Struthio camelus: one gene and its partner. The protein of the gene in region 1 purifies or fractionates together with the protein of each later gene. This does not show direct contact. Links are inferred from orthologs where the notes say so. Each region holds a gene or a part of one and is shown on either strand. Other genes may lie near its edges. The genes, in order: PPM1G and KPNB1.

What was found.
Region 2: the proteins of PPM1G (region 1) and KPNB1 purify together in Homo sapiens (affinity purification with mass spectrometry; 3 studies listed by BioGRID and IntAct, with this or other methods). This does not show direct contact. The link is inferred for Struthio camelus from reciprocal best matches to the Homo sapiens genes PPM1G and KPNB1.

What each region holds. Positions count from the first base shown.
Region 1 is NC_090944.1:637,767-652,904, forward strand, and holds the start of PPM1G (protein phosphatase 1G), read left to right. Parts: upstream 1-7,179; 5' UTR 7,180-7,364; coding exon 7,365-7,484; intron 7,485-11,859; coding exon 11,860-11,929; intron 11,930-15,138. Other genes in the region: NRBP1 (nuclear receptor-binding protein), read right to left, coding at 6,153-6,359.
Region 2 is NC_090966.1:5,912,997-5,928,576, reverse strand, and holds the start of KPNB1 (importin subunit beta-1), read left to right. Parts: upstream 1-9,727; coding exon 9,728-10,103; intron 10,104-10,432; coding exon 10,433-10,491; intron 10,492-13,884; coding exon 13,885-14,067; intron 14,068-15,580.

The DNA of each region.
Region 1 (15,138 bases):
GAACCAGCTACCCAGATGTCAGCAAGGTCTATATTTACCATCTTAAAAAGAGAGAGAGAGGTAAACTAAGGGCAGCGTAGTAAAGACAGAGGTGCTGTCTACATTAACCTTCTGAACTTCCAAGCTACAGGATACAATGAAAAACAGTAAGACTCAAATACTGAGCATGTATATACATACCCCACAGGCACAACCTACACTGCCTCCAATGCAAGTTCTTCACCTGAGCCGATACCTAGGTCCATATGGAACTTTATCACCCTTAGCCTGCACTAAGGCAACTATGTGGACAGGAAAGGGACCTATAAAAGACTGCTCATTTCATCTAGTTTACCTGACAGTAGAAAATACCAGAGAGAGAAAGCCAAAAAAAATATGAACATGGCAACCACTGTATGCACAGATGCACTTATATACAACAAATTTGCCTCCAGGGAGGACACAAAAAAGAACCTGTGGATCTCAGCATTCACTGAAGTGGGGTATCACATGGAAAGTGCTCCAGCTGCTGAGCTTGCAGAAAAACTGATAATACATCAAGCGCAGAACAAAAACTAGATAAGCATGAGGTCAGTTCTTTCTCAGTGGAGGTCACTGATGGCTAGCAAGAGCTCAAACATTACCTCTCGGGCACCCTGAAAATCACCACAGTATTTTAGAATCTGCAGGAGAGAAGCAGTCCCTAAATCTTCAATCTGCACAGGAGGGAGCAAGTCACCTGGGCAAATTTCCAATCAAAGGACCAAACACAAGCAGGACTGCACAAACGATACAAGGTTTTCCTGCTAGTCTTGAGCAGTTTAGCATACATTTGAAGAAAGGGCAAAGGTATTTCAGCAGAGACCAGTACTATTTCTCCCATTCTCTTTCCTCCTTTAAGTGCCAGGCTTCACTCATCCCTGCAGAGTCTTCTGTGTCACGGAATGAAGAAGCATTTGGGGAAAGCTGTACTGCAATAGAACATGCCTCACAAGGAGCCTGCAGAAGGGTAAGTCTAGCATACTGGACTTACTGCACAGTCATTTGCTCTATTAACTATCACAGGCATGCTCACATACATATCTGAAAGGGAAACAGCTTGCTCCCAAGGCTATGTATCCACAATCTGCTACTAGTTAAGAAGTTCATTCAATAGCATTAAACAGGCCATTTATTAAGCGAGTTATGAAGAAATTACCTCATTATACTCATTTCTTGTCATCTCAAAGTTACACAGCATCAAGCCTGCTTGTGAAGCACCCCACAGCTTTTAAACACAACCCCTTAAACACTGAAGGAGAAATTAAAACAGTTTGATTAATCCCTCTGAGCTTCCCAATCAACCACCACAAATTCTTAACCTTAGCAGCCAAGACTGACAAAAGCAGCTTTTCAGACAAACAATTGACCTTTGATGTCAACAAATTATTTAATACAAAGTCTTGGCTTGTGCAATCACATAGTGTTTTCCTATCCACAAAAGGCATAGAAAGAAATCTGGTCAGTAGGTAGCTATTAAGCAGATGACAAGCTATAGGACCATCTAAGTCTGCAAATGGTTGAGTCCTTCCCACTAACATGGGCTCACCAAGCCCCACACAGTAATACTGGGCTGAAAATTCACAAAAAGAAGATTCTGCTGCAGGAGAACATAAGTTTTCCTACAATTATATTTGTGACACTATTCTTTTGGATTTGTGCAGCTCTCGCAGAGAACAGGCATCAAGTCCAAGGCCTAGCAGGCATTTCAGGTTTAATACCTGCCACCGGCACAAGTCTAAAAATGAATTGCAAGTGCGTTACTACAACCCATTTCTATTCCTAGGAGGCGTAGTCTAAACACAGCAGACAAGTTGTCCAAGCATCTTCAAATTAAGAAAAATGTATGCATGCTGACTGAAGGACGAAGGCAGGCACAAGTTTGGAGAGCCAAGGCCTGAAGGGCCTATCAGCCTCAGTCTCTCCCTCCTGTGATTCCGCTAACCTCAAGCTGTAGGTATCTTCGCTACACCTTTCCACCGTGAGATGGGATCCACCCTCTTACAAGTTTATCTTCTGCCCCTTGCAGAGGTTAAAGGGCACACATCACCCTTGCATATGTCAGGGGAGCAATCAGGGGAATTGGTTACAGTTGTGAAGAAGGGTTCAGCTCAGGTATGGAAGCAATACAATTTGCAACACACCAGGAGACCCATGCTTGTGATATATACACCACAGCAAATATTTATTGGTCCCTGCAGTGCCTAAGGATGGGAGAGTTACCTGAAAATGCCAACAGGGGTTACACATTGCAAGAAAGAGGAGAGTGATGCCAAAGTCTTCTCTTGTATAAAATTGTCCAAACAACAGAAAATAAGTACTCTATTGGACAAGCCATGTCCCTCCCCTTCTCCCCCCCCCCATCTCACCTTGGCAGCAACTTCACCCTTAAGGTTTAATCAGAGCATGACCACACCACTATCCATAAAACACGCCATAAAGAGATGAACTTTTGGGAAAGTATAGATGCTTAATCCTTTATCTAGTTACAATAGCATCTTAGTTACAGAACTTCACAAAGCCACTTAATTTTAGAAGAATACCCTGAACCTTCATGGCAATTATACACTTCACGCTACAGATGTTCACTGTCTCTAGGAGAAAACTGCAGTCAATCAACTCAATACAACCCTTGCCTGCATTTGAATTTCAAGCAGACTTGAAGTTATATTAGCTGGCATATTTTACATTGGGCTGCTGTAGCTAAAATATGACTGAGTAACCCACATCCGGCTACATTCTAACTGGACCTTGCAATCCTGCTAACTTGATTGCGCTAATAATTGAAACAATTTCTTCTCTTTTTTCCCCCCCCCCCAAGTTAGCCTATGCTGAATTGCTAACTTTTTCTGGACACAAATCAAGTACACTAAGCTTAATGTGCTAGCTAAAACCAAACGTACCAGAAAACCTGGGCATCAGTTAAGGTTGCTGAACCCCCATGTGATTTAGATCACTGTAACTAAACAAAGACAGAATGAATAAAGGGAGATCTGGGAAGGAGTCCAGGATAGGAGAGGCAGCATTCTAATAACTTATGCTTGACTACTTTGTTAACACAAAGGATCCTTCCCACTGGGACCACACACATCTAACCCTACACCCAGTATGGAGAATAGGCCACCACTAAGAGTTAAAAATCTACCGAAGCAGTTCTCAACCAAAGAATTCTGAAATAAAACCTCTAAGAAGTTGCTAGGTAACAGTGTTGTAGTTTAGGCTCACAAGCAGCCTAAACCTATGAGAGTTTGCGCTAATGATGTAATGCTTTTATCCCACATTTCATTGGCTAGAGGAGGTATCACTCTGGGAAGAGGCTCAAGTCCTTAAGAGTAACAATCATTTGCCTTGTCAGTTTGCCCGAATCAGTTTCCTTGTCTTATGTGCTTTTTCCCAGCTCTTTAGGTAAGACAACCACAGTGGTGCATCATCATTACAAAAATGTATTCCATACATTCACTGCTTTTTAAAATGCTTGCTATTGTGCAAAGAAAGCTTCCTCACAAGATGCAGAGGTGCTCAGGAATCACACTGCAGTTTATTCTACTGGAATCTACTAAAGTTTTAAGGTAAATAACCTGAGCGCTTGCACTTTGCTGTTCTACGTGTGGATCCCAGCGATACCTTTTCCCTCAGATTTATAGGGCTCCTGTCTATACAGCCACTACACCTGTATTCTAGGAAGATCATTACAAAGAGTAATTTCAAAAAAAGAAACAAAAGCAAACAAAAAAACAAAACAAAGCCCCCCACCACACACCAATGCTTAAGGAATTACATATACAAACACACAAAGTGTGCTACCCAAGCTGAGAAGTAAAGAACCTAAACTTTTGAAAACATCAGACTGCATACTGTGCGTACAACCTTAGCTCTTCTCTGTGGGCACACGTGCTGTCTTCTCCCCAGATTATCTCATTACGTTGCTTCAAAGGCATCCAAAGAAGATGTTATAAGAGGATATTATAACTCAGCATCCAAAGAAGATAGTGCTAAGAGGAAGAATCAGGATTGCGCAATGGGGGGGGGGGGGGGAAGGAGGGAAGCAACATTCCTTTTTCGTAGAGTAACACCTCCTCACTGCCAAAGGGGTAGCGAGTGAATAAGAGCTCGTCTATATGGATACACTGACTGGAATAACCAGCGCTGACTGACCTATCACATTAATAGCACTTTATGAAGACACTGCTCTAGTACAAAAGCTACTTTTACTCTGGTGCATTAAGATGCTCAAAAAGTAAAACTGTTACTCCAGAATAAACCTCATGCTGGAACAGCTGAAGTGGAAGACTTTATTCCAGGGTGAAGACTGATCCAAAAGCTGAAGACAGCAAAACATATAAGGTAGGTAATATGGTTAAGGTAACTGAATGCTATTCCACAAGCTCTGGTTTAACCAAACCACAAGTTTACGTGCAAAATTAAGGAACAAGACAGAATTTAACTGCATGATCACTGGAAGGCTACCTAAGAGATATAAGGCCCACATACAAGCAACTATAGCCAATATCAATCCGACCCATAAATGCTCAACATTTCCTGAAGGAAGGCCGTACAACCTGGACAGATGATGTGTTGGGCATTAGAGGACCCAAGTTTACTCCAAGTTAGTCAATAATTTGTTTTGCAACCTTCAAGAGTCATTCTGCTGTCATTTGTCTGTCTGCAAGGTGGAGCAAAGCTCATTCATCTAACCTACAGAGGTGCATTCAAACCAACCAGACCCTCTAGTTCCTAGCTAAAAGACAGCAATTTAGCCATGCCAAAATTTTAGGGAACTTCTTGAGTTTGGGCCCTAATTTGTCTGCATATGAGGGAACCGAAATACAAAGAAAATACTGACGCCTACCAAACTTTACATTTTATCTAGGACAGTACAGAAAAGCCTGGAAGGAAATAAATCTTTCTGTGTCAAAGGGATCTGCAGTAAATAAAACACACTGAAAAAACTATACACACTGAACTTCTGCTTCATTCCCTGAGCCTCTCCGGTGTGCTGATTCAGCACAGATCATAGGAAAAAGCACCTCCTATTCATAGTTTCAGATTATCATAGAGAATATATTCTGAAGGATAGAATTAAAGCTCCATACAGTTACCCTCCTCACCACAATCCAAACTGTAGCTTCACCAGAAAAAGTACATTCTTACTATACCTTGCTACAATTTTGGCTTGTGTCAACAAAAGACAGGTTTCAAGCAAGTAACTGTGGGGAACTGTTGACCTTATTTTGACCTCCTAACTTACACGAGAGAAAATGACTCTTTCACCATCAACAGAGTTTCAGCTACCACATGTCTACGTGGATACGTAAGATGGTCATGAAATTATATGTTAAATCCTGACCTGGCTAAGAAAGAATACGTTAACATTTATGGGGCAGCACTGGAGTTCACATTTTCTGTCTTTCAGCCACTACCACAGCTATACAGCTTGCTCAACCAGAGCAGGTTTCACTGAGCCAACCTGAAGCGCAAACCAGTCCATGGAGACATCCTCCAATAAGATAAACAGCACACAATGAACCGTGTCAAAGAAAGGGCTCCAGAATAAGATCTAATCTGCTTGCATCTTCATATGGGAGAATTCTGATGCACGCACTGAGAAGTAGGTGCAAGGCAAACAACCCAAGAACCAAGTCCGCATAAACAGGCCACGCATTATCTTAACTGAAGACTTCAAAGCAAAGCAAAATCAAGGCATAATTCAAGACCAGACAAGACCGGGCAACTGGAAGCCTCCATATCCGGTACTGTTCCTTTCACGCTCCTGAGCGAACACCAAGAACTGTGAAGGCATTGCTCCAGCTTACTCCCAGAGCAAAAGATCCAACGAAAGGCAGACAGGACGGCTGCAGGTACCCCTTTGCCACGCAGCGGCCACAGCAGGCCCTGACACCACCTGCACAGAGGAGCCCCCAGCGCGATGCGTGCGCGGGGAAGCAAGCGGGCAGCGCTCCAGAGGCCGCAGGCGGCAGGTGAAGGACTCCCCCCGCTGCCCCGGGAGCGCGACGGCCGCTGGCCGCGGCGGCCCGGGGGCGGGAGCAGAGCGGGCAGGGCGCGACGGGACCGCGCTGGCCCCCCCCGCCGCGGCCCGGCTCCGCCGCGCACCGAGGCCCGGTCCAGGCGCTCACCTCCTCGCGCCGCTTCTGCCAGCGGCCGCACGGAGACTCCTCGAGGATCTCGGACTCGTCCTCGCTCTCCTCCTCCTCCTCCTCCTCCGGCGGCGCCGCGGAAGTCACCGGCGGAGACACCGAGGTCATCCCCGGGCCGGACGACGCCGACTCCGGCTTCGAGTCGGAGCCGCCGCTGGGCGCTTGCTTGGACTCGCCCTCCGACATGCTGCGGTCGCGCACCCTGCGGGCGGACGCGGGGCCGTGAGGGGAGGCGAGGCGAGGCGGGGCGGGCCGCGAGGCCGCGCCGGGCCTGTCAGCCGCGGGCCGCGCCTCGGGCCTGCTGGCGGCGCCGAGCCGAGCCGAGCCGGCGGCGCGGGCCGGGCGCCCGGTAGGGGTGGCGGCGGGGGGCGGCGGCGGCGGCGGCGCGCACTCACCGGGCTCACCCGGCGCCTCCCGGTCCCCGAGCGCGTCGCGACTCCGCCGACGGGGCCGCGCCGCCTCCAACCGCCGCGCTGCGTAACGCGCCGGGCGGGACGGGGCGGCGCTCCCGCCGCCCAATGAGAGCGCCGGCGCGCGCCGTCACCCTCCGCGGATTGGCCGGTGGGCGGCGCTCCGGCTATATAAGGGGGCTAGGGGCGCCCGCGCGCGCGCGCGCGCGCAGTCTGTGAGGGGGCTCGGGCGCTCGCCCCCGGCCGCGGGGAGGCGCCGGTCCCGGTCGCGCCCGCCCCGCCACTGGCCGGCGGCGCCCCTTGTCCTCGCGATCCCCCCCTCCCTGAGGAGCCCGGGGCGGGCTGGCACGCCGAGGGGCGCGCCCGGCCCGGGGGAGCCCGCGGGAGGGAGGCGGTGTGGGGGCGGGCCGCGGCCAGGCTCGCTCCTGGCGGGAGGCGAAGTCCCCGGGGGGGAGGGGTAAGGGGGTCGCCGCCCGGCGGGACCACGTTTCTCGCCCGGCCGCGCTATCCCCCCGGCTCGTCTCTATGGCAGGCACTTCCGGCCGCTCTGGTTCGCCCGCGCGGCGGGCTGCGCGCGCGCTCCCCCGAACGCGACTCTCTAGCCCGCGCTTCCGGCCGCGCTACTTCCGCTCGGCGGCTCGCTGGTGGGTGGGTCCGCCGCCGCCGCCGCCGCCGCCTCGCCGCCCGGTGCCGCCCGGTGCCGCCCGCCCCGGTCCGGTCCGGTCCGGTCCGGCCCGGTGGGTGCGGCCCGGCTGCCGCCGCGCCCGCCGCCGCCGCCGCCATGGGCGCCTACCTGTCGCAGCCCAACACGGTGAAGAGCTCGGGCGACGGCGCCGGGCTCGGGCCGCGCCCGCTGCACTTCGGCTTCAGCGCCATGCAGGGCTGGCGCGTCTCCATGGAGGTGAGCGCGGGGCGGGGGCTCCTGCCGCCGCCCGGCCCCGCTCTGCCCGCGCCCCCTCCCCGCCGTGGCCCCGGGCCGGGGATCGCGGCGGGAAAGGAGAGACTCGGGCTGGGCGGGGGGGGGACAGTCTGCTGCCGGGGGCCACCTGGCGCGGCAAGGGGGACGTCCGCGGGCCGGACCTCTGCTTTCCTTTCCGGGGGGAAATGAAGTTTTAGGGTCTTTTTTCCCCCCCCCTCCCTGTTTTTAGTCCTTTCGAGGGAAATTTACTGGGAAAATTCTTATTCCTGCTCTCGCGTGAGACTCCTGTAACCAGGCCTGCCTTTACCCAGCTATCAGCTAGGCTTGTGGGACAAATGAACTGTCACCAGGTAAACATCTGTTAGGCTGAAGAAGTCAGCTGTTTGTCCGAACTCCTCCTGATGGTGGAGTTTGTAGGAATTGCTTTGTAAAGCTGCTCGTGTAAGGCCAAGGTGTATCTGCTTTGGATCGCTTCTCTGCCTCGCCAGCAGTTCCTAGTTCTTTGAATTTAACGCTCTCTGCGACTACTATTAACGTGCTGGCTTATTTTCCCTTCCAGGCAGCTAGCAAACAGCCCAAATTAGATAAGGATGAATAGTGGTCCCTGCAGCCGCCAGGGTACATCTCTGAAAGCAGCCTTCTCGTTTGCAGCCCTTTGGCTACCTTGGAGAGGCCGTCCCGTTCAGAGCACTGGGGATCGATTTTTGCAATTATAGTTTTGTGAGCTGTGCTATCAAATGTTTTATTGCTGCTGAAACATTACAGCAATCTTACTGATAACAGAACAGTGACAATGTTTTTCCTCCTTTCTGCGTGCATTGGAGCTTTATGAAACTGGGCTCTAGTTTCAGAGGCAGAAGAATTGGTGCTTGGGTCTTAGTCTGTCCGTTCTGGTGACCTCTGCACAGGTGAAACGTGACACAGAGGCGTTATTGGAGCACTGAGGTGATGGACGATATAATCTCTGCAAGGCGATTAGCTCGTGTGTAAGAGGCTGAATGCAGGCAGTGTTCTGGGAACCATGGTGCGCGGAGGCTGAAAGCGTTTTAAGGGCACGGTCTTGGATGAGGGAGGGCAGAGAGCTGCCCCTGTTTTAACACTGGTGGGAAGTCAGCTCATAATTTCACTTCTTTGAGGCCTGCTCTTGCTGCCATTGACCTTTATGGAAATTGGATGAGACCCAGAGCTTGCAGCTGTTTTTTCTGCACCAGCCAACATCTTTGGTATATCTCCCTGCTGGTAGAAGCAGCGCTGAGGGCATTGATGTAGACATGATTTAGCTATGTTATCACAAAAGTGAGATGATGGCAGAAGTGCTTATGTTACAGCAAGTTTCTCCTAGGTCCGTGATGAAAGAGAAACAGTTCATTGTTTCGCATACAACCGAGGAGAACGTGATGATTCTGTTGCGTTTTCTTGCCTTCCGGAGTTGTGTGTTTTTCTCTGTATCTTGTCTTGGTTTGTGTGTTTCCTTTTCTTCATGTTTAATTGTACTTTCACCCTTCTGTAAGGATTAGAGAAAGTTCTGAGTAAATATGTATTCTGTTAGTGTACAGTTAAGGCTTGAGTTATGGGTTATGTTAGTGAAGCCAGTCGGAGTGTACACAAGTGGTGGAAGCAGGTACTTGTGGACAGTAGAATTTTGTGTAAAGGAGTTATCTGTTAACTTTAATTTATACTTTAGGAGCACCCAGGCAAATGTATAATAAATATCTGTTCTTAGTCCGGAGAGGTTACTTTGTAGATAAGAAACATTTTAGATAAAATAGCGTTGGATACTACTTATCCTTTTTGGTCTCCAAGTGACTAAGAAGGGAAAAAGCTGAATTACAATAGAGAGAGGAGTGCTCAGGAGTAAAGCGGGATGGACAGGAGGCATTTATGGAGGTAGATGCACTGGGCCTCTGAGTTCTGTGGCTCTGCCTGGAACTCCGAAGAGGACTCCTGTGTACAGCATCATTTCATTCTTCTTGAGCTCACAAAAAGAGTCCTTGCCTCAAAAAAGGCAAGAAGTTTGTTCAAAGTGTCTCCTGCCAATATATGCTGGGCTTGTTTGTCCGCCCTTCTTGACAGCAGTGCCTTGGTCCAGGATCAGGACATATTGTGGTGAGTGCTGTAAAATGAAATAAGAAGACCATTTTTGCTGCTGATGTTAGATTTCCTTCCTAGCAGCATTTGTTTTACTTGCTCTAATTAAACTGCTGCTTAGTCACCTGGGACTTATCCCCGTTACTTTGTTGTGGTTTTGCTGTCTCTCTAGCTTCTGTAAACGCTCTAAAAAGTGACCATACCAGTGTGATTTTTTGTATATCATCTGTGTATCATTTGTATTCATCTGTTGGCCAGTGAACTCTTTGGTTAAATTACCAAAGTCATAAATGGGTCTTTTTTTTTTTTTTTTCTTTTGAACTAAAATCATAATTCGCCCCCTCAGCTTTTGTTTTCATCACAGTGTCAGGTGGTTTCATTGCACTAGGTGCTGTATAAAGCCAGAACCTCTCCTTTTCTGTTTTCGTTAACACTTGATAGAAATCACAGGGGAGTAGAGTTCTCCTTTGTAAGGCACCTTGAAGGGCAAAGAGCTCACAAATCGCATTTAGTTATCAAAAGAGTCCTACAATAAAAGAGTAAAAAAGCTCAACAGATGCTTGGCTGTGCAGTGACCAAGTGTGACTCTGTTGTACACATAGGAGTTTTCTGCTACGGTTGGCAATGTGTCCATCCATACTGTAGAGCCTGCTGCCTTGGAGTAAGCACAGTGTTTTGGGGCACCTGTAGCTCATTTAATTTTCAGGTGAGGAACTTGAACCATGACAAGGAAGGACTATTCTAGATCACATTGTTTAAAATGTCACATGATTGCTTCTGAACAAAGACAAGCGGGGGACAATCAAGCTGTAAGTTGATAGGATGAGACTTGCACTTCAAGGAATGTTAAAAAATTAGTTGAGGGGGGATTAAAAGGCATGTTCAGTCTAGCCATCAGTTCTGAGCTTGGTGCTGGAATAGCCAAGTTTGGTTTGCTGGCCCATAGGATGAAAGAGGTCAGGCACCTGGCTGTAAAACCTGGATGGTGCCTTCAAAATCTCTTGTTCCTGATGAGCTCTTATGGAGAGAAGGGCAGTGTTCTGTATATAGCTTTCATATTATTCATCCTTGTAGTTTGGGAGCATGTGCAGAGAAAGGCTTGGCAGAGTTTCTTATTTATACCCAAAAACATTCTGGGATACACCTATCTGGTTTGCCTCAGGAGATTCTGGGGATTTCTGGACAGTTGGCAGAACCGAAACACCTGACTTGCCTCAGGAAGTGACACCTGGTTTTGTACTTTGATTTAGTTGACTAGTTGATATGTCCCTTGCTTCACTGCTTAAAGGACGCTTGTGAGAGGGCAGGCTCTTTGCCTTTCTCATCAGGGAACTGCCTGAGGCCTAGTGCCTTCCCAGGAGCGTCAAGCAGAGCAGGAAGGAGCCTTTGTCCCAGATGCTCTGAGATGCAGAGCATCTCTGGGAAAAAGTTTTCCAGCCCAGTGTTCGTTCTCACTGAATGTGGTAATCCCATGTACTGTATGGCTGTTTTTCCATTGGGCTGTTGGAGTAGACAATCTGACTGCATTCGCCTGGACAAGCACAAGCAAAGGCTAAGTGTGCTGCTGTATTGTAATCGTAGGCCTGAGGTCAGGAGGCTCTGTATTTGACCTTTTGTCTTCACCAGTGTATCATGAAGTGGCATTCAGGTTGCATGGCTCTTGTTTGGCAAGACCTGGAGAAGAGAGAGCCTGTGTGGGAACGGCCAGGCACCAGAGGTGACCCTGAGCAAGTTACATTGTCTGCATGGGGGAAGTTACCAGTGTATCAACAGCAGGATAACTTGTATTTCTGTGTTTACACTTAGAGAAACCTCAGCCTAGGTACCTATTCATACAGTGGAGCACAGCTCACTGCCTCCTGTGCTTTAAGCACTGTGAGATATTACAGTAATGGAGGCCTTGCAGATACCAGGGGCAGACATCAGTGTAGGAAGAGGGGTTCAATTACGGCTTGTGCTTGGCAATATCCAGAGTTACTGTACTGGAGAAGTGAGGGAGTCTGAAGTACGGTCTGAGAGGTGGTTAGAAGGCTGTGCTACTGCTCTAGCACGGAGCACCATAATGGTAAAGATCTGCCCCTTTTTCAGAGTGCTCACTGGATAAGCTTTTTTAGACCATGGGAGGAGGCTTTCTCGCTCTTCTTGCTTTTCCTCTAGGTCTGAGAATCAGCGCTCATGTCAGCGCTCATCGCCTGCATGCTCCTTTCTCCCAGTTCTCTGCTGGGCCTGGTACAATCAATGTCATTCAGACTTTTGCTCTCTTTTTCAGGATGCGCACAACTGCATACCGGAGCTGGACAGTGAGACAGCCATGTTCTCCGTCTACGACGGACATGGAGGTAACTGCTTCCCTTGTTCTCTGCAGAGTTCTTCACTATTGCTCTTCCAGTCGACTCAATGGAAGTGGCTGCTGTCCTGGCTACTGGAGCAAGCATCTAATTATCCTTAGAAATCCTGCTCCTTCTGGGAAAAGGTTTTCTTTGATAGATATCAGAGTAAGGCTATGAATGTCTCTTAGGGTTTCTAGAAGAAAAGTCATGGTTTCATACAGAATTGCAATGAGACTTGCATTCCACCTTCTAAAAATCTTTTAAGAATGACCATTATTTTCTTGGTAGGTAAGTCAGACAGGATAGTCGCAGAAGAGTGGCCATAAGAAAGACCGAAGTGGAATTAGACTGAAGTGGAATTAGACCAAAGGTCTGACTCTAGTCAGATGTTGTGGTGGTTGGCAGTACTGGTTTCTCAGGGGAAGAGTTAAAAAAAAAAAAAAAAAAAAAATCCATTCCCTGACGTATCTTCCCAACAGCCATTCCCCACTTAAGGGCTCTCTGAGCTAGAGATTTCAGCTATATGATCTTGTAGACAGCTAGAGGTTTTTTTATGCATAAATTTGTGAAACTGCATTTTAAACCAGTTTATATGTTTGGTAGTTATTTGCATAGGCTGTTTTATATATGACAATTATTTTTGTTTGAAAAAAATACTTTAATCAAAATCTGCTGCCTGATAATTTCACTGCAATATTCCCAACACTTCTGTTAGGAGAAATTAGTGAGTAATCACTGTTACCACTTTTCACTTTCATAGTTTTGGACTCTTATGTCCTTTCTTCCAGTCAGAAGATTCTTAAACTTGTGTCTGCTCACACAGCTGTATCTGTAGCAGTAAATTCAATAGCAGCAAAGCTCATTTTCTGGCCCTGAGACCAGTTGGCAGAGTCTGGCCACATCCATGCAATTAAGCTCTCTTAGTATTTGGAATAGTTTGGCTGCATCTAAACTGACTGTTGGTCCCTGGCCCCTACTACATCCTGAACTGTGTCCAGAAATTACTTGAGGGAGTGCTAACTGGCTTGGGGCAAAAGCATGCCTTGGACCAGGCTAGTAATTTTTCACATAGGTGGTAAAATGCCTGGGCCGTGGCACTCATTAGGTTACTCGCGTTGGGCATAGCCGTGGATTCCAGGCATTGTATCGTTCTAACTATGTTTGCCCCTTTTTTTTCTTTGGAGGGGGAGGAAGAGGTTCCAGCTCTGCAGCAAGCTTTTAGTTAGGATGAATAGAGCTGCATATAGCTTTCAAGATACAGATGTACCATGGATTTATTGTGACATTAAGTGTGTTCTGCTTTGTTCTTGGTTCCTTTACTAACAATTCACAACATCCTATTAGCTGTTTGATACACCTAAACAGTGAGTTGACGTTTTCAGAGATCTGTCCACAGTGTTTCTCAGATCTTTCCTAAGTGGTAAGAGCTGTGTTTGAGTCCATCCAACGTGCATGTGTGGTTTGGTTGTCTTTTTTTCATGTTTGTGTCTCTGCAATTGTCAGTGAGGAATTTCATCTGCCGATATAGCGTAGAAGGATAAGATCCCGTTACAACATTTTGAGAATGATTTTAGTTTTGACTCTCCTGAATGATCCATCACTCTTTCTTGACCCTCTTTTCCAGATTATTTATGTAAATGTTGAACAATGCAAATTTTCAAGGAATTCTAACCTTGGTCATCCTCCGTTTGGCAAACTGTTTGCTCCTATCAAATCTTACTTATTTTCCCATGGCAGCTTAGTATGTAAGCATTTGATGACTTATTTGAAACTTTTTTGAAAATCTGTGTCTCTATGTCAGCCAGACCTCCTATTTCCACCTGCTCATTGACTCTTGAAAAAGCTCTGATCAGTTTGTGACACTCTCAGGCATATATTTGTTCCCCATTCTACCGTATATATCTATATATCTGCTAATTTCTGCTGTTTTCTGGGTACAGAAACCAGATGTACGGGTCTATAGTGTTGTAAACCCAATTCCCACCACTCTGAGACCTTTTTAATTTATTTTTGGTTTCATCTGTGTTCCTTCCATTTTTCTGACACTGGAGCTGATAGAAGCAAAAAAGTTACCGACCCCAGTTTATGGTTTGGCACTTTTACGTGCGAGTTCCTTTAGAACTGAGTATCATCTGATTCTGCCAATTTGTAAGTAAGAGTTTGAGACTCTTAATAAAAAGGTCAGTCTGAGTAGATGGCTGGCAAGCTAATAGCTATTCAAAAGATATGATCTCAGTATGAAGCATTAAAATGGATTAAATGTTTTCAAATTATTTTTCAGCCTGAACTTCATCCTAGGGTGTTCAGAGAACTGAGTGGAATAACTGCTGATATCTCCAAGGTTATCTTTGAGAACTATTGGATGATAGGTTTGTCCTGAAAAGCAGAGAAGGACAGAGTAGATAAGAATGTAGAGATTTAGCAACCATTCAACTTAACATCATTTCTTGCAGAATTTCAGGAATAGTTTGTAAACATTTAGCAGATATGAAGATAAGTAACAGCTAGCAAAAACTGATCAAGAATAAATCATGTCAAACCAGTCTATTATTCTTTAAGATCAGAATAGCAGACCTTCCTGATGGCTGAAAAGCAATTTTTTTCCATGCATTCTTTTTAGTAAGACTTTTGACACTCTTGTGACATTCTCATTAGTGTAATACATAAAGTAACATTTTTTTTAAATGCAATAGGAAAGGTTCAAGGTAGGCATTAGGGAAAGACATTAATCAGGATGGGAAAGCACTGTGATAGAATGCAAACCTGTCTTTTAGAATCCCAGTGATTGAGACTCTGCAGCTGTTTCTAAACAAACTTTATGAGGAAGCATACCGATATAGCTGATCCTGCCTCTAAGGATGGAAAATGAAAGGACCTCAAAACCATTTAGTCCGTCCCTACTTGTATATGATTTTACTGATGTATTAGTTCTTTAGATTGATATGATACCTCAGGTTTGTCTTATGGAAAAAAAGGTTTTAGGGCAAACGCCTCCCTAAATTTTATTAGGGTAGTTGCTAGTGCAAAGAATGAATTTAGTGGGTTTTTTTTTTAAGAGCTGTTCTTTTATACCTTATTTATCTATCAGCCTTATAAACTGTCCAGTAAGCTTCCAGATCCAGATGTGTTTGGAAGAAGTTTTATTATTTTGTAGTTGCAAGTTGTTCCTTACAATTTTTTTTTTCATTATCAGTTTTCCATTTAACTCATCATTTTTT
Region 2 (15,580 bases), on another chromosome or scaffold:
TACTCAAACACTCCAAGTTCTGTCCCAGTTACTTCTTTAAAGTAAAGGATGAAAATTTCAAGTTTGTAGACTTATATTAAACAAACATCTAAAAAGTTGAGGGCAGTGATATGCAAAAGAGGGCTGTGCTGATTGTTGTGAGAAGAAAGGGTGCTTGCCTGCTGTTTGGAGCTTAGTGAAATAAAGAGTAGAGTAAGTAGTGGAGAATATAAAGGCTTAGGGTCTGCTGGAGTGGGTTTAGCATGGTGCTTCTCTGAGACTGCAAGAACAGTATTGTCCAGATGCTGCTGATTTCGGCACCAGTGAGCCAAGGCAGAGAGGTACACCTCAGAAATGAGCAACTTCATAGTTTTTGAAGATGTGGTGCTCTTGAACTGCATTGGCTAGTATCCCTAGGGCTAATGTGGCTATACGGTCAGAAATTAGATTGAAATGGGAATTCTGTTTGTCCTGAGTCATATCTGTTAAGTTTACTGATGCTTTTTCCTGCTGTCAGCACTGCAGAGCCAATGTAATTTCAGAAGAGTAAGCTGGTTTCTCTTCTGCTTCTTGCACATTGACAAAATAACATGCAAACTAGTAATTCCAGCATGACTGGTGATGTATGAAATGAGACATACTGTAGCTGCAAGTTGAGGTGGTCTTGTTTTGACTTTAAACAATGCAAATGACATGCAAGCAGTTGAAGGAGAGAGGCAAAAATAACGAGTTTGTGGTCTGTGAGCAAACTGAATAGTTTCAGCAGACTGACTAGTCCCAGTCTCTTCTGCATGCAAAGAAAGTAGATTTTAATTCTTCGTGAAAGAAAGTTAGTTTGGGATTTGTCCTCTTGATATGAAATCTTTCTGTCATTTGAGACAAACTGATGCTCTTCTCAGGAGAGTCAGGACAAGACTAGCAAGAGGTATCGGGGATCAGGAAGGAGATGAAACGGCAGTGCTGTATCTGGGGCTCATGTGATGATTAGCAGGGATATTGCCCATGAGCACTGGCTGTATTCTGCAGGGCTGTTAGGTCCAGTGTCCCAAATGCACCTCAGGGACGCTTAAATGATAGGTAAGGTATTTCTCAACAAGTAATCCAGCGTAGGCTTAAGTTAAACACGCTGCATTTTTAAAGAAATCTTGATGTATTCTTTCCTCCCTTTCGGGCAGTTTCACTGGTTTCTAATGCTAGATCTTGATAAAGACCAAAACTGCAGATAATAGTAGGGGTTGTTTTATTCCTAGTACAGGCTTATAATGCAAATAAAAACAATGCAGGTTTTCCTAGCTGCAACGGGAGGAGTTTGCCTCCATGTCTTTTCTATCACTGTCAGGCGTGATAAGAAATGCCAAAACATTCTGTCCTACCTGTATGAGCTTTGATGACTGAGTGACAATGAAAATCTGTATTGAATCTTGCTCACATGAACTTCAGGTTGAAAATCTCCTTCAAGATCTGGAATAGAAAGATTTCCTTAACGAGTAAACTCGCTGCGGCTACCTATTTGTTGCTGCTTTAACTTACTCTTTTGATATAGCACGCAGTCTCCGACTTTAATCTTGGTACTTTTGACACTTAGAATTAAGTAACCTTGTCCTTCTCTTGCTTTTTGTGGTCTGCCTTCCCTTTCCCCCCAACAAAACCATGGAAAGCTTTCAGTAGTAAGAACCCTCCTGCCTAGAAGGTAGCAGAGTTGTTCTGAAGTGGATTTAATGTGAGGTGGTGTTACTTTGCCCTTTTCCTGTTGCGCGTGGTTTCATGTAAGCTTATGAAAGCAATACTTCTTGGAGGCTTCATTTTTGGTTTCTGTCCCAGGCAGTCAGGTTTGCCGTGCGGTGTTGGAAGTACTGCCTTGCCATAAAGATGCCTCTCCAGGGAAGTAGGTGCTTGATTTGTGCTAAGGCATGAGAGTGGTCTGACACAGACGGGCCGCAAGCTATATGCTCATGTCTAGCTAGCTGTCTTCTGATAGCTGTGCCAAAGCTGCTCGCTTGAATTCCAGGTGATCAGGTTTGGGACAGCTGCTCTTGCTACCCCAGAGGTTGCTTCCTGCTCATGTGTGAACTGAGACAGCGCTTTTATGAAGAAAAATGCATCAAAAGCAATACAAATGAATTGGTGTTAAGCACAGGACACAAATGATTTGTGCAGCCTTGAGATTAAAAGGTTGTATGTATTTTAAAATCATTTTATAAACAACCTAGCGCTGCAGGTTATTGGGGGCTTCGAGGAAGGGCATGGTTGGGGGGACAGTTCACTTTTTACATGTTCTGCAAAACATTTATCCCTAACCATCTTGCAGGGGTCATGCTAGACGTATTAGCCTTGGCTCCATGGATCTTCAGTTCAAGATGCGTCCTGTTTTTCTACCCTATCAGCTTTAGATCATTGAATTTGAGTTTTAAGGAAGCCTCAAACTATTAATTTTTATGCCTTTTCTTACTGTGGGCAATAAAAATAATGAAATAGTTAAAATCTAGTCAGTCTTGATAGGGACTGGAAGCTCATATGAAGCCAATTTGATCCTGGAGCAGCATGGAATGGTCAGGTGCCTTCCCTGTACTTAGCCCCTTGAGACTGAAATGCTGAGGTTTAAATAAGCAAGTCACAAATCACTTCCTCAATTTTGGGAATGCTTATGGTGGGTGGAGGACTGGTGGCATCCTGCCATTGCTGCTGCTGATCCAATCCTCTGGCTAAAAGAGCCAGGTTTGCTCAGAACATATTCAGTCCATTAAAAAAAAGAGTCACATGTGTGAACTCTCCGAAGCAATTTGGAAAAGGCAAGTTTTGTAATAACAAAAATACATTCCTATATATAGTCATTGCTTTGATATTTGCAAGTCTCTTACACGTGGGATAAAATAATATTTAATCTGTCAGGGTAAAAGGCACAAGCTTGCCAGGCTGATGTGGAATTAATTAGCTGGGAATGAAAGCTTCGGAATCCAGTTTACTCTTCAACAATACCCAGATTTCAGACCAAAATTTTATCTAGCTTAAGCGGAATTGCAGCATCTGGAAGGACATGTTATTTGCTTCCCCAAATGCCAGGGTCCTTTTCCAAATGTAATCACGGTAAGAGTATGCTCTTTATTTTAAATTATTGTAAAAGCGAAATGGTGTACAGTGACAAATACGCTTGTGAACTCTTTCTGAAAAAAACAACCAAACAAAAAAGTCTGAAACCTTACCTCCCAAATCCTGTTCTAACATGTACCTACTTGTGTTTCGACAGGGTCACGCATGAGGTGCAGTGAAGTCTCAGTGTTTTCTACTATTGACTGTCCCTGCAATTAGCCATTATGCTACTGCACGTGAAATACTTTATACTCACGTTCTGCTCCATTTAAGAATTATCTTAGCCCTTGCAAAATACCTGTGCAAGTGAAATTGCTCTGTGGAAGACATGACAGCAAATGACTGCTGGCCACCAGGATCAGAACAAGGCTAATGGCAGCCACACAGAAACTGGATTGATACTAACTTAAGTGAAACGCTTCTATTGCTGAGAGAGCCGGGTGAGCGAAGGAGGATTTGTGCCCCTTGTCCATCAATGACCATGTCAAGACGAGCATCGTTTTACCCCAGTGAAGGAAGGACCAAGCCGTTCAACTGATGGAAAATCAGGCTGAGCAGTGGCAGGCATCACTCCAGCGCTGGCTCAAAGTGAACTCCATTCAGGCTGTTTCAGACTTTCTTTTCATTAAAGGAGAGCTCAATTTGCTGTGCTAAAATCATGATATAAGATTTGGTCAAAGTTAAACATAGTTATTTTCAATTCAAGTGAAAACACGTGGGAAAATATATGCATGTGGCAAAACTTAAAGCTAAAGAGGATAATGTGCCGTGTTCCACGATACTGTTTCATTACATTAACCTTTCTTCTACAGGGACCCAAACCAGGAAAGAAAACTGAGGTAATGTGAAGTCTGAATATAACCGAAGCAGTTGGAAAGCATCCCTCTAAGCAAGGAAGACCAGGTGAGTGTCTCTGCTCAACCTCGTTTAATCTAGTCACCTGTGCTGGCTGCCAAAAAGCGGGTTTCATCAACTGATTGTTAGGAAAACGCATCTTCTCTGTGCAGCATGTAAGACCTCCTTTGGGCTGCTACACGAAGGTAAGTGAGACGGAGCACGGAGAAATCTACCACATTGCTGCCGTTTAGCGTTAGGGAGATGTTTAGTGTTAAGCAGCCTTTGACATTTAGTTTCCTACAGAGAGAGAACCGAGTGTGGTGGATATATTGTCCTTCCAGTGCATGTACAAGTTTGTGTAAATAAATAATCTTATTCTGTATTCCTATTAAATGATTGAGCTAATATAGCACTGGACTGACCATAAAGGCTTGTCCTTGCTTGAAAGCTGATGTGGATTCAGACTGGGTATGAACTGAAAATGCTGCAGCTGTCCTGAAAAACTGCATGTAGACATGCCTCCTGCGTAAGGATCGTGTGCTGCAGGAGGTAGTGCGAGGCTGGGTGGTGGGTGCCATCGCTGCTCTGATTTCACGCGCCCTTCCTGCACAGGGCATTGCTGTTGGAGGAGCAGTTTGTCTTAAACGGAACAGAAGAGTGAGCTCGGGCTTGCCTGTGACTGTCAATGTTTCTCCAGGGTTTTCTTTACCGTTGGATTAAAGCATGTGTTCTCGACTTTTCCAGTGTGGGGAAGTTGCACTTACCTTTGCTTTTTCAATGAGATAGGAAGCGTAAGACATTTCCTGTGTGCTGACCCTCTGCATTGTTGAACGTTTTGTATTTCCAGCTTTATTAACGTTTTTGATAAAGACAACAAATGTTTGTTGCATCTTTTTTCAGCAGTGAAATCTAGTTTAGACACAGCTCCTGGTGTGTTAACTTCTTAAACCTGGTATCATCCGACTGTTTGATTTGCATTAGTGCCTAAGAAACTGTTGAACTCCACGCTCTGCATACTGTACACATACAAAAACAGAGATGGTTCCTGTTCCTTGGAATTCATCTCTTTGTAGGATTTTCTGAGAAACTTGGAAGTATTGAGCAGCTTAATCTTTTTAAGCTGTCATCTTTTGAATTTCAAAGGTGGGAAGGGAAGCAGAGAAGTGACTTTCTGTTCTTTTGATTTTGAGTTACCATGAGAACCTGGCTCTTCTGATGGGTGCTAGCACCTAGTCTGGAAGGCTGCTCTCATTCCGGAAGCACTCCAATAGATCATTTACACTCATAATCCATTTATGAAATGTTCCCCTTTTTACAAATAGGGGAAACTAAGGCACAGAGTTTAAGTGATTTTGTTCATGGTGACAGCAGCAAGATCAACGAGGAATCCTGAAAGCCATTTACTGCTCTCGCTGCTGAAACGCACAGCCAGCCGTCTGGACTCGAGAAGAAAACGTGGTCACCTAGTTCTCGTTCTAATCACTTCACTTGCTGAAATAACCCCAAGTACCCTAACTGTTTCTAGAGTTGTTCCAAAGGTCAGCAGCTTTTCAGCATTTCTCTCCCAGTTTCTGCAGTCAGTTTATGAAAGCAGGAGATGATATAAGCCTCTGTACTGTGAATGCTGAGGATGCCATTTATGGCAATGAAGAGCAAAACGGTGCATCTATCTCAAGTTTAAAGCTCCAGCCTGAGCTGTACCAAGGGGAGCTGACTCTGCAGTCTCACTTATCCTTATTTTACACTGGGTTTCTGGGCTTGCATTGCTCGTGAGGCCAGATTTGTACAAAACTCCTTAACGCTTTTCTCTCTCCTTGGCTTTCCTACAGGAACGGTCTCCTAGGGGAAGTCGTCCTGGTCAGCAAGACAGAAGGGCAGGCACACGCACAGGGCAGCGTGCAACAGCTGCGTGAAACCGCGCTTGCAGAAGCACCGTGCGCTTTCAGGTGTGTCCTGGGGCCCCGGCGCCGAGTCAGGGAGGGGAAGAGGGAAGCAGTTTGGGGCAGGACAATGTTCAGCTAAACGCAGAAGCAAACCGCAGCTGCGTGTCAGGCTCCTCAGTTCCTGCCCCATCCCTCCTCCCTGCTGGGGAGTAGCTGCAAGAGAGTGCGTTTCAGCTGACTTCAACCCAAACGCTGCTTGGTGAGTTTGACTTTGAACTGCTCAAAAAGGCATACTACAGCGTGGTGAAGGAAGGTTGAACGCGAGGTGAGCTCCATTCCTTCAGGCTGAATAACATGTCAGTTCTGTTTTATGAGTCAAGCTGCAAATAGTAATTGGTCTTAAACCAGTCAGTGATGTGAACTGTTGACAAGTCTGCCCACCCAGGCTCCTCCGCAGGTGCGGGTTTGGCAGAGAGAGGAACCCCCTCTCCTCCTCCTGCTAGCAACACACGCTGTGGACACACTGGCCGCGTCTCTGCGTCCTGTTCTCCCTCGCTGTCTTATCGGGGTGATCTCAAAGCATTCCGGTCACGAGTTAACGCAGTCCCTATCCACCTTCTCGAGGTTAGCGTCAACTTAGTCTTTCCAGCTGGAGCGGCCGAGACAGACGCAGGCAAGACACTGTGACCAAGAACATGCAACAAGACGATGGCAGCAGGGCAAACGGAATTAAAGTCCTTGATGTCCAGATGTTTTTCAGCCCTTCTTTTCTTGCTTGTAACCGTATTAAACCTGCTAGCCACTTACACTAAGTACATCTCATCAGTAGGTATCAAAGCACTTTACAAAGGAAGCTGATAAGGATTTGTCCCCATTTTAAAATGTGAAACTCAAGGCAGAGGTAGACAAAATGACTTTTTCAAGCTTCTCCAGCAGGCCACTGGCAAAGGTAGGGACAGTATCTAGGTCTCCTGAGCTCCAGAGTCCTGGTCTGTCCCTGTAACCCGACTTTCTTTGGAGGAATGATGAATACTTTTCAAAATGCACACCCAAGGGTATGAGTCCACTTCCTCAGCAACAGGGCAAGTGACTGAGACCACTGCTCAGAGGTCGGCACTTGCTTTGCCCTGCAACATAAGAGCTGTCTTCCCCTTTCCTTTGGCAACAGCTTGTGAAGGGAAAAAACAGTAGTAGTATAGGGCAGAAAGGCCTGGAGACATCGAGGATGAGCCAGACTGCTTTTCCCCATCTTCCTGACCTCTTGTGGTTGTCATCCTGGCCTCTGGAAGCGGCTCCAGCTCTGCACATCCTGCATTTGAGAAGGTCACGGAGCAAACGAAGCCTAGAAAGTGGTGGTGTGTTCACGAGCAACGTACCTTCCTTGCAACTGGCCAATAAATGCAATTGTTTGTGGCTCCAATGACGCTCTGCCTTTAGCTGGCTGCAGGCAGCCGGCTCTAGGACTGTGGCTCGGCATGTATACTGTGAGATGGATACGCTGGGTTGGCGCTGGTTCCTCACCTGTCCCATATTGCAGTGTAACCTGCAGGGCCAAGTGGTCTGTTACATGGCATTTACGATGTTTGAGCAGAGATGTGCACAGTTCTGGGTGCTGGAGCCCGAGGTTGGGAACTGCCGCTGTAAAGGATTTCTCGTGACTGATACCTGCGCGCAGCGCAGAGCACCCTCGGATTACAGCCCTCCCGCAGGACACCTTGCTGGACTTCTGCTCCAAGACGGTTCAGACACTCTCACAAAGGCCTGTGAATCCCCTCATCCCAATGGGTGACCAGGAAACCCAACCTGAGCAAAAGGAGGCTGCAATTCAACAGAAGCTGTATTTCTTCTCAGGAGGAGCTACGAGATGCTGTTGCCCTCCCCTGGGCTCAGAGGCCAAGGCTCTTGTTTTTTTCTCTCCTTTTTCTCTGTTCTTCATTCTTGCCATCTAACAAGGTAAAACATCTAGCAGAGCTCTGCCTGTCTCGAGGCCTGAGCAAGGCACCAGAGACCCAGACTCCCGGGTTCCACCATTCGTGCGCTGTGGGAATATGGTGTATTTAGCTTCCTTACTTGCAAAATAAGTACAGCAAGGAGTGCTGGGAGAGGCTTCAGGGTTTGAGGAATTACTCGGTTAGAGCCTGTGCAGCATTTCCCAAATACCCGTATTCCTTTCATCTAGGACCTGTATCTTGGCAGAATCCCTTCTACCAATTTTGCCACCGAGCAGCTGGGTTCCACATGGTTTGTGGTGTAGGAATGGGACTATCAGTTAAAAACAGTCAGTTGTTTGGATGATGTTAACTATTGCCAGCTCCTTGCAACTCAGAGTTTTCCCCTGCTATGGTCAACCAAACTCTCTCTCCCTCATTTATGCGCTCAGAGATGGCTGCACTTGAGCAGTTACCGTACCTGCAGCGCATCCCGTTCCCAGGAAAGCAAAATACTGCAAGTACAAAGCACGGTTAATCCAAGAAGTAGGAACACCGTGAAGAAGGGAGTCTAACGTACATCTGCGTCGAGCGCTGAGCGTTCCTCTGGCATGAGGAGCAGGGCTCTTCCGATTCCTCCCTGCCTACAGGAAGAGTCAGGTTGACTGTAACTAGGTAATTGTCCCTTCTCTCGTTGGCCTTTGTATTTAATCCCACAATAGAGCCTGATTGTGTTACTAATTGCTCTCTCCCGGTGCGCAAGCCACAAGAGACCTGCGAGTCGCAGAGCCCGCCTTTACCTGGGTTTAATTATTCAGCTGCACCTTTGTTCTGCTCCTCTCCTTTTTTTCCAGGCATTCCTCTGTTAAATCCTGCATCTTGTGGAGTTTGAGCTAGGCCTCATGCGTGCTCAGAAGCTGGTGCGGCCATCTCCCTGCCTTGGGGCAGTCCAGCGCCTGGGCTGGACAGGGGCGTGCAGGCGAGCGCGCTGGTGTAGCAGCGCCTCTCCGGGAGGGAGGAAGAACGAGGGGCCTTTAGGTCATTTTTGGTGGTGTTATCACTGCACCCACGCAAGGGATCGCGTAGTCCTTTCCATGGGGGGGGGGGGGAGAGGAATAGTTGCATAAACACAAAACCGTGCAGCCCGGGTGTCACTTGTAGTATCGTTGCTTGTAGGAGCGGCGGTTACAGCCTGGGTTGGGGCCTCTGCTGTAAAGAGCATGCACCCCTGGAGCATACAATAAAGATCTACCTGAACCTCCACCATACCTTGATTATCCTAAACTGTGCCACCGCTGACAACTCCGTCCAAGCTGAAAGCATCTCCCGCGACCTCCCAGAAATCTCCCAGGCTTCACGTCCTGTGCTGCAACCCCCGGTTCTTCAGGGCTGCGGGGAATTGCGCCTTGGGGAAACGGCCCCGTTTCCGCCAGCTGATGCAACTGCGCCTCCCCTCAACGCTCCTTAAAACTCGAGGCACCTTGGTGGAGAAAGCGCGCCTTGGGCCAGGCTGCATCGTGCATGGAAAACACAGCGTGCACGGAGGCTGCATCGGGCATGGAAAACACAGCGTGCACGGAGGCTGCATCGGGCATGGAAAACACAGCGTGCACGGAGGCTGCATCGTGCAGCGAGCACGCATCCCTTACTTGTAGCTTTTAGGTTAATACTAGGTTAAGGTTAATACCAGGTTAGGATCCCCAGCGGGCGGCTCCTCCGCCCGGACCTCCAGGGCCCGGGCAGCGCCGGCGGCGGCGGGACCCCACGGCGAGCGGGGGCGCGCGCGCGCGCGCTGCCGGGCCCGGCCCGGCCCCACGTGGCCGCCCGCGCCGGCCCCTCCCCCGGCCCCGCCGCGGGGGCGCCCTTTCCCCGCGTTGCCCAATCAGCGCGCGCGGCGCCGGAACCCTTTTCCCGCCCCTCCCTTCCTCTCCCTTCCAGACCAATGGCCGCACCCCTACCGGCCCGCCGCGCCGCCGGCCAATGGGAGCGCGAGCCGCCGGCCGCCGCCGGCCAATGAGCGCGGCGGCGCGGGGCGGCGGGCCGCGGGCCGTATCCCTCCGCCGCTCGGTGTGCGCGCGCGCGCCCGCCCCGCTCGCGCGGCCCTTTTCTCCCTCCGCCGCTGCCACAGCCGCCCGCCGCAGCAGCCGGAGCAGCCGCCGCCGCCGCCGCCGCCCCGCGAGGTCTTCCGCGAGCGGGACCTCCCCCCTCCCCACCCCACCCCGTTCCCTCTGCCGTTTCTCACGGGGGAGGCTCCTTTCCCCCTCCCCCCCTTTCCCTTCACTCCCCTCCCCCCCTTCCCGGCTCGTTCCGCTCCCCGCACGCCGGTGCCGGAGCCGCCACGCCGCCGCCATGGAGCTCATCACCATCCTGGAGAAGACGGTCTCGCCGGGTAGGGCGCGGGCCGGGCCGAGGCCTGAGGCGGCCGTTAGGCCCGGAGAGGCCGGGCGGGGCGGAGGCCGCTGCCGGCGGCGGTGGCGGGGGGGGGGGGAGGGGGAGGCCGCGCAGCAGCCCCGCGGGCTGCGGCCGGCTGAGGTGAGGCGGCGGCAGCCGCTTGGCTGAGGGGAGCTGGGTTGGGCGGCGGCGAGCGGGGCCGCGGGAAGGGGGCTGGGAGCGCGGCGGGAGCCCGGGGCCCTCAGGAGCCGGGGCCCGGCGGGAGGCGCCCCCGGGACCTGACTGACGCCGGCTTCCCCCTGCCGTCTCTCCTCGCTTCCCCGGCAGACCGCTCCGAGCTAGAGGCGGCGCAGAAGTTCCTGGAGCAGGCGGCCATCGAGAACCTGGTGAGAACCGGGGAGGGCGGCGGCGGCGGCACCGGGCGACACCGAGCGGGCGGGGGGGGGGGGGGGGGCGCGCTCCCCTCCCCCACCGCCCCGCCCGGCCAGGCCGAACCGCCATAAAAGGCGCAACCTACCTCGCCCGCGTCCAGCCGGGGCGGCGGCTGGCCAATCGCGGCTCGCCCGCCGCCTCCGCCGACCAATGGCGACGCGGCGCCGGCAGAAGGGGGGAGGGGCCGCGCTAGGCTGCGCCGCGCTGCGTGTCCGCGCCGCGCAGCGCCGCGCCGGCTGCGGTGGGAGCGGCCCGCGGGGCCATGTGCGGCCCCGCCGCCTCCCCGCGCCCCGCCGCGGCCCCGGCCCCTTGCCAGGGTGTTTATATCTCTCCTCCAGCCCCTACCCCTCCACTTTCCCTTTCCCCCCCCCCAACCTTTTTTTTTTTTTAATTTATTTTTTATTTTTTTGCTGAGCTCCTCTCCTGGCCCACTTCCCGTCTTTCTCCGCCCCGTTCCGAGCCCATCCTCGAGGCCTTTCCCCGCACGCGTGCCGGGGAGGCGGCTGGGGAGGGCGATGACACGGTCGGGATCCTGGTGGGGGAGTCACTGTGCTGGGTGGGGTCAGGAGAGGTTAAGATTGATTAATTTACCTGGAATGAATGGGGAGGGGGGGAACTCTGTTTTCGAGAGGAAAAGCTTTATCGCACCAAAAAACGTGCTTATGAAAGTTCTCATCGCCCTATTCCTTTCCAAAAAAACCCAGCTTTTTTATATATGTCCTAAAATTGAGGATGGTGTAGAGAAGTTTAACTCTCCATCGAAGGAATATGATTTTTTGCTTAGTCAAGGTGTATTATTGCAACTGTTTCAAGGCTCTTACAGGAGAGGGCTTGCGATGCTAATTTGCTGTCCTTGAAGGAATCCTAGCTCATTTTAACAGAGGTGTGTTATTCATGTCACTTCAGTATTCTAGTTGTCACTCACTGGTTGTTACGGTTACTAGCAAAATTTATTCTTCCTTTTTAAACGGTCATATGTGCATTTGTCTCCACTTGTCTAAACCACAAAAGTAGTGTGGTCTTTGTTGTTGTTACATTTTAAGCAGTGTGAAGCGTCCCTGAGAATCATAATTGACATAGTTTTTACACAGAAATGTCCGTTTTGATTCTAATTTTGTGAATGGCTGCTTGTTAAATCTTAGGATCCCCTAAAAATCTTATAACCTCAGGGTTAGGTTGACGTTCCTGCGCAGTGTTATATGAAGCATTTTGGATTGACGTCCTTGGGCAGCTCGTGATTTTATGCATTTCAGGCTTTTGAAAGAGCTGGGGGATGAGCCAGTTTCTCAAGGTTTCATTTATACCTGCTTTCTTGGCTCAGAGCGCAAAAGCGAGGTCAAGGCAGCAAGCAGAGGAAGCAGAATTTGTGCTGGTGCGTGAGGGATGAAGTTTGTGCCCTGGTTTGGGAAGGGGTGTGGGTTGGTGCAGGTTCCCAACGGATGGGGGCCGAGGAGTCCCATCTCAACCGCGAGAGTGATGAGTGCAGTGAGGAAGCTTGGGTTTGTCGGAAGAAGCATAAAAGGTAGCGTAGGAGAGGAAGGATGCAGGGTTCTGGGTTGTTCGTAAGTGGTATGTGATTGGGAAGAACTCTAGCTGGGCCTGGAGGAACAGGAAGGAAGTAGGGAAGAGGTAGGAGGTAAGGGATTGGGTTAGAGGCTCTGTGCTGGGGGCTACTGGTAGTGGCAGCCAAGCAAACAAAGTCTGAAATGAACTCCCAGCTGGTTAATGGAGACTTATCCAAATATGCTTATTCTTTCTTTTCCCCTCCTGTATTTAATTTAGACCCTTTTCTGAAATTTTTCATTGGCGTTTTTGTAAGTGTGGAAGTCATATGCATCTGCATTTGGTTTGGATCTTAATGTAATGCTTCTAACTTTTAGCAGGAATTATATCAAAGTTCCTTAAAAAGACTTTTTTTTTTTTTTTTTGTTAACTGATGAGAGAGATCTCCAAGGGCATTTCCTCAAATTTGGAATTCTAGTCAGGTTTCCTTCTCAAAGGTGGCAGCAACACTTTTGTTTTGCCCTGTGAACTTTTCTGAACGGTTTCCCATTTCTGGCACAGTAGAACTCAATGTCTCAAGTGTGAACATTCTTGATGGATGAGAAGTGTTTTCTTTTATTATGGTGTATTTGTACATTTTTTTTTTATGTAGAGCATTAAAATGTCAGGATATTTCTGACTGGACAACTGGATGACTGTTTTGTTTCCAAATTCTGCATTTTGACTTTTATCTACTAGATAGCCTAATTAAGATTTTTCAAGAGGCAAACTTGATCACTGAAAATGTAAAGTCCAGGATACTGGGCATGCTCTTTGTTTCTATTGAACTTTTAAAAGTTAAGCTAGTTTAAAAAAATAACTATTTTTTTGGTGCCCTAAAATCTTTGTATGTATCCTAAGTTCTGTTATACAGACTTTTAAAAATTGGTTAGATGCAACTATATATTAAATGGAACGTTTTCTGGAAAGCTGCATTCTTCCTTGTCTATTTGGTATAAAATGGTTTTGAAAATAGTGCTGTTTTTGCTATTTACCTGAAGGTTGTTTACCTTTTAAATAGGCAAAATGCTTCATCTGGCCAGTTAAATGAAAATGTTCTGCTGTTGAAACTTTAGCTGTATCTTGTATGCAGCAGAAGTCTATAAAATGTAAAGCTACTGAATTGCAAAATCAAATTTAAATGCAGATGTGCTTCTCACTAGATGCCACCAAAAACAAGTGGTACAGACGTCAAGTATTTTTATCTATGCGTACACTTTTTGGTGAGGATAATCTTCACTTGTGTATATGTATCTTTGATTGCAGGGAAGTATATAGTAAGCTTACTCGTACAAATCTATTTAATGCACCAACACAGCAGCTGTTTTCACATTTTAAAAATTCCTGTGTTAGGTTATAGTTTGGGTGTTTGCCTTGAAGCAAGAAAATCAGTAGAGGGTTATTCTTTACCATGTTTGATATCCATCCAGAAAATACATAACTTTGCATAAAACCTGAGTAGTTTATTTAAAGGAGTACTTAAAGTAGACAGGAGCATCAAAGGTAACAGTCTCTCAAGTAAGCTGAAAACATCCAACAAAGTCGATGTCTATTTACGTTGCTTACCAGCAGTTCTAATTAGGAGCTTAGCGTATATAATCTTGGGATAGAAACACAGTCACTGTACAGTAGCAGAGGTTTGCTGTTGGCCTGATACTGAAGAAACTTTAATGAGCGTAGTCGCGTTCTGCTGGATAAACGCGTGTTGTTCCTCATTAGTCAGGACAAATTAACGGCTCACATTGCTGCAGGAGGAAGGAGGGAAATGTTTCCATTGACGAGCAGCTTTCTCCTCTGCCCTCCAGCCTACCTTCCTTGTGGAACTGTCCAGAGTGCTGGCAAACCCAGGAAACAGCCAAGTTGCTCGAGTCGCGGCTGGCTTACAGATCAAGAACTCCTTAACATCCAAGGACCCGGATATCAAGGCCCAGTACCAACAGAGATGGCTTGCAATCGATGCCAATGCCCGCAGAGAAGTCAAGAATTATGTAAGTTTTGGGGTTTTTTTCATTTTTGCCTGTTCGTTTTCCTTCGAGGATCATGAGTAATGCATTCTTATCCCTCCTTTTCCACCTGAAAAGTCTTCCATTTGGTGGCTTCTACTTTTCATGAAACAATGTCGTCTGTGCGTGCTTTGACGTTTTGTTGCTTACATCATATTTAATCTACAGAAGTGTTAGGGTAAAAAGACAAGCAAATATGTGGCTACTGCTTTTACATTGAGGCATATAAATACTTTTACAAAGCAGTTTTTAAGTAGTCCCCTGTGATTCTGGAGTTCATGGGAATGGCTTCCTAACTAGGCGATTTCAACTGAATTGATGTTTGCTTTTTATTCTTGAGCAGCTTCCTCAACTGTCTCACAGTCTGTCATTAATGTCTTTGAGACGTGTCGTGTGTGTGAACGTGCACGTTTGCACAAGCCATAGAAAATCTTAAAGAATTAGTAGAGCGTAGTCATGCATATGCAAGTTCCAGATGTGAAATGGTATTTTTAAATTTTGTACAGGTGTGGAATTTCCCAAGGACTGTTGTGTTCTTTTATAATTCCAGTACAGGACTTGCAATGACAAAACTATAGTGGCTGAGTTTTTCTGACTTGCAAGAACAAAGGTGTACTTGGATGTACACGGTGTTATGTAATTAATGCAAGTTGGCTGTAAGCTTTTATGTAAGGTTTTTGTCTTAACAGATGTCTTTGAATCTGTGTATAGTAGAGTATGGTTGGGCGGTTCATTATGGTACAACTTTAGTCTTTTATTTACATTGGCTAAGACTGAACTAGGTAAGGGGAAACAGCTTATATTGTAAATGGGAGTTGTGATGGGGTTGTATATTAAAAGCTAACAAAGCCAGATTACTGCTGTCCTTCTGTCCAACTAAAGCAAAGTCCTTTGTGTCTTATTAAGCTGATAAGTTGGATGCTTTCACTTAATTCCTGCTGATTGGCTTTTTCTTAACTTTGACAATTGTCACTATTTCCATTATTCTGTTGAGAAGCTGAGTGATCTATTAGCCCACGCTGATTAGAGGGTAAACGTGAAGAGGGTTGGTGGGGTCTCAGTTCACTCGGTTCACTCCTGATCATGAAGCCACTGAAGTATTTGGTGCTGACTGCTACTCTGAATACCAGCAGAAGAGCCACGAAGCCTATCCCCTCTTGCCCGTCTCAGGAGGCAGGCTGTGCAAGGGTGGGAAGAGAGCGGTATCTAGTTTGGGAGAGGCTAAGTGAGTTGTAAGTACTGTATTTGCTGAGGGGATATCTAGACAAGTAAGATGTATAACTGAAAATTCTGAAGTGTGCCCCCCTCCTCCTCAAGAAAGTTATTGAAGTATACAAAAAATTGTTCTTCTGATTGGAATTAAAATAAATATAAGGAAAAAAACCTCTTCAATCCTGTTCAGATTATCTTGGCATAAACAATCTAGAACTATTTTGGATTGTAAACCACCATTTGTTTAGCTTTTGTAACTTTGCTTTATAATACAAGTAGGAAAGAA